Saccharomyces cerevisiae S288C: one gene and its partner. The gene in region 2 interacts genetically with the main gene of each other region. Each region holds a gene or a part of one and is shown on either strand. Other genes may lie near its edges.

Region 1 (3,760 bases), on a different chromosome or scaffold from region 2:
TATTATATGGATGGTAGCCATTATTACGTCTATTGTATCCACCGCGACCACCACGGCCGTTTCTTCTATGGTTTCCACCACTACGGTGATTGTAATCGCGGTCACGATCGTTACGATCACGATCACCGCGATCACGGTTGTAGCCATAACCGCTATTGTGGTCATCATTGTATTGTGATGGGCCCTTTGGACCATTAGGTAAATTCAATGGCGGTGAACCAGAGTCAGTGTTTGATGTATTACCAATAGTTTGGACGTCATTGGATTTATTATTATCGGAATCAGAAGGTGCTGGGGAACCTTGAGTGGCATTTGAATCTTGCTGTGGTTGGTTTAAAGTCATTGCATTAGGTGGCATGGCAAACCCTGGCATCATCATTGCCATTTGCTGCATTTGTTGTTGGTACATTTGAGTATAATCCATACCAGTTTGCTTTTGCATTTGTTGGTAATATTCTTGCATCTTTTGATAGTAATCTGTCATTGCTTGCGGATTCATCATTGGGTTGTAACCGCCCATCATAGGGTTTTGATACATTTGGTTGAAATCGCCTTGGTTACCGAAGTTACCGCCACGACGATTCATGTTGTTTCCACCATTGTTACCACCATTGTTTGATGATTTTTGTTGCATATGTCTTGGCTCAGCTCTCTTGATTTCGATCTTGCGATCTTTGAAATCGATGAATTTATTCTGACAAACTCTGTCAACGGCGTCAGCGGAGTCATACGTCACAAAACCAAAACCTCTTGATTGACCGGTATCCTTATCTAACATCAGTTGCGCATCGATAATCGTACCCCACTGAGAAAAAAATTCTTCAAATTCCTTTGGTCTCACATCAGGACCAATACCACCAACAAAGATTTTACCGGTTTTATCTTGCTCGTCTCTTGGGATAGCTCTTTTTGGGTCGATAACTTTACCATCGAGGATATGTTGTGTCTTTACCACTTCATCAACACTAGAAGGTTTTTCAAAAGATAAGAAACCGAACCCTCTAGATCTACCTGTTGCAGGGTCTTTCATGATTTTCAAATCAGTGACGGTACCATACTTACCAAAATATTCGCGAAGATTATCTTCCGTAGTGTCCCAATTCAGACCACCAATGAACATCTTGCAACTTTCTTTAGACAAATCCGCTTTCGAACGTTCCTCTTTGGTTTGAGTTACTTGCTGTTGAGGTGGTGATTGAGAAGATGGTTGCTGGAATTGTGACATGGTTTGTTGAAGTTGTTCCCAAGGTAAGCCAGAAGGTCCTGCAGAACTAGCGTTGGCATTGGCATTTGCTGATGTAGCGCTTTCTTGTTTTTTTTCATTCTTAGTGTCTTCATTGGAACCTTCCTTGTCATTCGCAGTGCCATCTTGCTTACTAGAAGATGTGTCTTGGTTACTATTATTACTACTACTGTTGTTACTATTTGGATTATTTAGTTTGTTCAAGCTAGAAGATAATGCTTGTAGTGCGGCTAGTTGATCTAATTGCGAGGTACCACTGCCAGCCTTATTTTGTTCTTCTTCTTTTTTGACTTCTTCAGTAGTGGTAGGCTTATCATCGCCGTAGATGTCGTTGAAATCTTCTTCGTCAGAGCTCATTGCTTATTTAACTTATTCTCTATTTTCTCAGACTTGTGTATACTGCTAAAGTTCTTTATAAATAAAATATTTGCGTCTTTTATGAAAAGATTGTAATATAAACAGTAATATTAATACAGAATAAAAAAGGGCCAATTGTTTGTATTATGCACGCTTTTTCAATTTCTTGTTTATTGAGTATACCTTTTCTGTCCGTATTTTTTCTTTTTGTTTCTTTCGCAAAAAAGGTTAGAAAGAAATCTAGTAAGGTATGAGATTTTAGTTATTAAACACTAAAAAGTAAAAGATACACGTAAAAAATTTATAACAGTATATTGTACTAATACTTGACTATCTGCAAAATTAAATAACTAGTCGAAACTGTTCAATCCTTTGTTTTTAATTACAGTGGCGGAAAGGAGAGAGCGGAAGAAAATTTAAGAGCGCCTGGGCGTGTGGAAAGCATGCGCCTTTTATACTTTTTTTGCTTTGTCCAACAAGAAATCTCGGCGCTGCTCGTAGGGAGGGGCTGCAAGAAAAAAAATAAATAAAAAAAAGAAAGTATTTCCGGGTAAGATTAAAAATGCATTCGATTTAGCCGCCCAGTATTTCGCAAGATCTTCCAAGGTTATAGATGTTTAGAAGAGAAAGAAGTTGGGATCCTTAAGAGCATGTTTCTTTTTCCACGCATCTACATTAGGATTTACTCTTTGTTTTTCAACTTCTGCGCAAGATCTTCAAGAACAAATCGAAGAGATAAAAAAATTGATATTTATAGTCAATAGGTTTTCGATAGCATGACCCTCCGGACTTTTGATGGATAGATAAAGCGAAATTTAGAGGGTTTTTGATCTTCTTCCTTGCAGCAACCTATATTTCTTAGTATTTTGTATATCAATAGCCTCCATAATGTTATCTATAGCTATTAGTACTTTAAGAGACTTTTATTACCCGTATTTTGGATTCTTTTCCGAAGAAAAAAGAAATGTTTACGTTGTGGGAAAAGTGAAAAAAATCGATGATTATGGGCATCGAGGTCTTAATACCCGTAATATGGAGATGAAATAGCATAACTAAACACATTGTATATAAGGTAAAAACGGCAGCATGAAGAAATATCTGCTGTATATGGTACAAGTTCATTTGAACTTTAGAAGAGCAGAACTGGAATCGTTAGCAGACCTATATAATCTTTCCATAGACTTTTCGCAGTACGATGCCAATAGCCCTTTCTTTATTGTAGAGCTGGAAAATGATCAGCAAGCAAAGGATTGGATTAAGAGGTCTATTTTAACCAGAGGTATTTATGAGTATTGGGGGCAGGGTACAACGCTCGATGAGCTGCATAAAGATATTCAGCGTCAGTCTAACTTTGAACAGGATCTGCAATTGAAATTCAAACATTCCACTTTTAAGTTCGAATTCGAATGCTATAAAGGCAACAGTAAAGCTAAGAGGGTAGAGCAGATTGAAACTTTCCGTTACCTTGGCTTTGAAGGAAAGATTGATATGAAACATCCTCAAGAGGTTTTCACTGTTATAGAAGAGTACACACCAATATCGGAAAACGTTGGTGGTAAGACCCCCACCAGGATTTATTTTGGTAGGCAGGTTCAGATGAGCAATAGGAGTGCCATGGAGAAATATGATTTGAAGAAAAGACCTTATAAAGGTACAACTAGCTTCGAAGCAGAATTATCGTTGGTCAGCGCCAATATAGCTCAAGTGAAACCGGGAACTATAATGTACGACCCGTTTGCAGGTACAGGATCCTTTTTGGTAGCTGGTGGGCATTTTGGTTCTTTAGTGATTGGTTCGGATATAGATGGCAGAATGATTCGTGGTAAGGGTGCTCAAGTGAACATTTCGGCCAACTTCAAAAAATATGGCGAGAGTTCTCAATTCCTCGACGTGTTGACCATGGACTTTACAAATAACGCATTAAGAAACAATCTTGTCATTGATACTATTTTGTGTGATCCTCCATATGGTATCAGAGAAAGCATAAAAGTCCTAGGTGCTAAGGATCCAGAAAGATTTCTAGGCAAGGAAGATATGGAAATTGACGGTGAAAAGGCATATTTGCGTCGCGATTATATTCCAACCAAAAAACCGTATGCTCTAGATTCATTACTGGATGATCTTTTACAATACTCTTCCGAAAGATTACCGATTGGCGGA
Region 2 (3,760 bases):
AAATCATTTTCAAACTGAGTCAAAGCCATTTTACTCCCTGGTCTTTCATCAGTTATATTAGTTTTCTGTAATTCGTTATTCTACACCATGACATAACTTACTGGTGACTAAATGAGAAAAGCAAAGTCCCTTTCTCTTGCTTGTTATTTATTTTTGAACCCTTTACACTATTTGTCTTTTTTTCATCACCCAATCGAAAAGTTGAAAGTATTTTTCAAGCATTGAAAGGGTAGAGGAGATTAACAAAACATAAATATTTTGCAAAACAAAACCAATTTCAAATAAATGTATAGAATAACACCAGTAATTAAGAGGTGGTGTCTTACACTCACCATGTCATGATAATATCAATTGGCAAAATATATTAGTTAGTTTTTACACAATATCAATAAATTTAACTTATACAGTCTAAAATTATTACTATTCTACCTTAGGCTTCTTCGAAGGCCTTTCTTCGTCGCTACCCCCCTCAGCATCACTTAAAGCCGCATCTGAATCAAACTCTTCTGCAACTTCGTCTGCGTCATTATCAGAGCTGACCTGAAAATCCTCATCTACTGATTCATCATCTTCACCAGCGGAACCCATATTAATATCCTCTTCGTCACTGTCTGAACCTAAAGCGGTTTGTAACCTTTCTTGTACCTCTCTATCTTCATTCTTCACCCTTAGGTTTTTAGACTTTAGGAATTGTTCCAATAATTGCTGCTCTTCCTTACTGATGTTGGCAAAAGTGGTAGAACCTCTATTTGAACGCAGTACCACTTCCAAATCAAACGTCCTCGATGACGTAGAAGTTTGTCCTGCTCTTGAAATGTTTACCATGCTAACATCACTGAATGGTATGTACAAAGTTGGCTTAGTTAAAAAGAAGAAAGCGTTATCTAATGGATACAAATAACCTTCGTTTGCTTTGAAAGAACATGAAACTGCACACTGATCATATTTGGATTTATATTCTCCAGGAACAATGACTCTACGGTCAGTCAGACCTTTTAATACATGACTTAAAACTATATGAGTTTTAGCATCATATTGTTTTTTCAATTTATCCTTATAATTTTCCTCATAATCTTCATCTTCTAGATTCAATTGCACTTCTGTTTCCTCATCTTTCTGAAATTGTAAGACAAGAAAGGGGTAGGTGGTCTGTCCTTGACGTAAAGGAGGTTCAATTGCCAAAACCAATAAGTGATGGATATCATCTGCCTTTGGTAACGAAACAATTCTTTGTATTTGACGATGTTGCAATTTGTATTCATAGGTCTTACCCCTGAGTCTAATGGAGTTCTTGTAAATATCGATATCATAACGACCTCTTGGCGTGGTAAAAAAGACGTCTTGGAAGGAAACTATTGCATCACCAGCGACTTCCCCGATGTCTGCCTTTTCCTTTAGTTCTTCATAGAATGCTTCTGCCATACTCTTTTCCTCTACTGCCATTTGTACATCTTCTCCTTCAGCACCATCTTCTTTCTTTGGTACGACCTCGTTGCTTGACTCTTCCTTTTTGGTCATGTTTTCATCGACGTTTGTTTGAATAACACCAGGAATATAGAACCTCATCTCTACCAATTCGTCACCGGCTGGTTGGTACTCTTCATCTTGAATATTAAATTCTATTCCTACTTCATTTTTAGAGGTCAAATTTGTATTATTTATTCTAGCATAAGGAATTTCAAAAGTTGGTTTACCATTTAAAGCAAAAACCATTTCATTCCTGGCAAGGTCTGTCTTACCCCAGTTCCAACCACGTAAGGAATGTTCTCTTTGCTCTACCTGAATATTAAAACGGCGATGGAAATCATTCTTGATTAAGTTATAGTCATCCTGAGAAAATCCATCTAGTTGGATAACACCTTGATTTTTGGTATTTATCTTCAAGTCGTAACCCCTGCAGCCCCTACTCCATTGGACGGTAGATAATTCTGTGGCTGGTAATAAAAATGGTTTTCTTGCCTGATTTGCTGCAGAGCCACCACTGGTACTAATTTTCCACCCTAACCCAGAATCAGCAATACGGAATCTACCGCTAAATTTAGATTGGTTCAAGTAAATTCTATCAAAGTCGGTACTCATAATTCTTGTTCAACAATACTAGATTGTTCCTTCACTTGTTAACGGTATTTCCTTCTTGTTCTTACCACCGATTCAACATCTAGCTACTCTCATACTATGTATATCTCTGACACTCGCGTTAACATTTCACCAGTTTAACGATTCGTTTCGCGTTGAACCGGGTTATACAATCGTTCTTCGCGATGATAATAACAATAACTCCAAGAAAAGTAAGCTTTTTCTATATATATATATCATAAGTATCTTGATATGTATTCGTGAGCCAAGTACTTACAAGGCGCTTTGAACCCCCTTCAAAAACTCACATAGGCCTACTGCACCAGGATCTTCTACTTGAGATGAATCGCCGACATACGAAGCTCTGCCAAATTTGGCCTCGAATGTAGCAGTGGATTTAGCACCTTCCTCTGCAGCTTTTACCGCCTTATTGAAATCCTTAGATGCAGTAAATTCTTTAACGAATGGTTCTAAAGCATCAATCATGGTGGATGATCCCTTCCTTGCCTTTGTATATTTGTATAAAGTATCCAATGCAATTCCGAGTGACTTAGCCACAATTTCCTTAGTGACGGGTTCATCCTTTGATTTACAAACCTGAATTAATCCGTGTGAAAAACCCGACAAAAGAATAGAATATAAACCACCAGAAGTACCTCCCATTGAGCCTTCAATGAAATCTGAAATTTGGGCAACCGCCTGAGATAATGAGTCCTTCGACAGCTTGTCAAGGTTTTCGGTGATGCCTTTAACTCCTGCCACTAAAGTGTAACCACAATCACCATCACCAACTTGATTGTCTAGTTCCGTAATGTGCGGTTCGCTCTTGATAACTTGTTCAGCACCACTCTTCATCCACTCAGCAAACTTGTCAAAGTCATAGGTACCGACGGCCTTTGCTGTTACTTCATTATGTAACAAGTCATCGTTAACAGATGGGGCAGAAGTCTTTTCAAAATCTGCAATTGGCCAGCCCGGTGCGTTCGTAAATGCGTTCAACAAGTCTAGTACTGATTTGATCTCCTCAAAATCAGATTGCAAAGCCTTTGTAGCCTTAGTGGCGTTTAGTAATGTGATACTGAACCCATTACCATTGAAGGAGGTCATCAATGTGCCAGCAATTGTTTGAACCGGGGTTATGTTGTAATTTTCCTTTAAGAAATCCGTAGTTTTGGAAGTGATAGAACTAATAACAAAATTAGAAACACCGCCGAGATTGTTAACTAACAAGACAACTTCATCATCTTCATCAAACTTTACAAAAGCTCTATCCTTATCGTTTGGATCCAATAGTTTTGGTAGCATATACTTGGAGATCAAGTCTTCGGTAGAAGGAATAGGGTCTAAAACTTTCACACCAGGTTCGTTATGAATACCCATACCCAATTCCATTTGTTTTTCGTTTAATTCACTTTCGAATTTCCTGCCAGGAACTTTACAATGGTCTAAAGAAGATCCAATGGTCACCAAATTGTCGTTGATAATTTTAGCCACTTTAGCTGTACCGTCTAAGCCATACTTACTAGAATATTCTTCTGCGAAGGCACCTACAATCTTATGAACCAAAACGGTACCTGCCAATGCTCTTCTACCAACCATACCACCCTTTTCTCTGCCAACTGCAACATCATCACCTATGACAGCAACGCGGCAGTTAATACCCAAGGCTCTTGCTCTCTCAGCG

Evidence for each region. Genes that interact genetically often act in the same process or in processes that back each other up.
Region 1: mutations in POB3 (region 2) and HRP1 together harm fitness more than expected from each alone (negative genetic interaction), as found in Saccharomyces cerevisiae (one large-scale study listed by BioGRID).

What each region holds. Positions count from the first base shown.
Region 1 is NC_001147.6:85,684-89,443, reverse strand, and holds the start of HRP1 (Hrp1p), read right to left. Parts: upstream 1,601-3,760; coding exon 1-1,600. Other genes in the region: TRM11 (tRNA (guanine-N2-)-methyltransferase), read left to right, coding at 2,687-3,760. UniProt on the Saccharomyces cerevisiae protein: RNA-binding protein, which is involved in the polyadenylation-dependent pre-mRNA 3'-end formation and cooperates with the cleavage factor CFIA complex and the cleavage and polyadenylation factor (CPF) complex.
Region 2 is NC_001145.3:133,819-137,578, reverse strand, and holds POB3 (FACT complex subunit POB3), read right to left. Parts: upstream 2,080-3,760; coding exon 421-2,079; downstream 1-420. Other genes in the region: ITT1 (RBR-type E3 ubiquitin transferase), read right to left, coding at 1-29; DAK1 (dihydroxyacetone kinase), read right to left, coding at 2,350-3,760. UniProt on the Saccharomyces cerevisiae protein: Component of the FACT complex, a general chromatin factor that acts to reorganize nucleosomes. The FACT complex is involved in multiple processes that require DNA as a template such as mRNA elongation, DNA replication and DNA repair.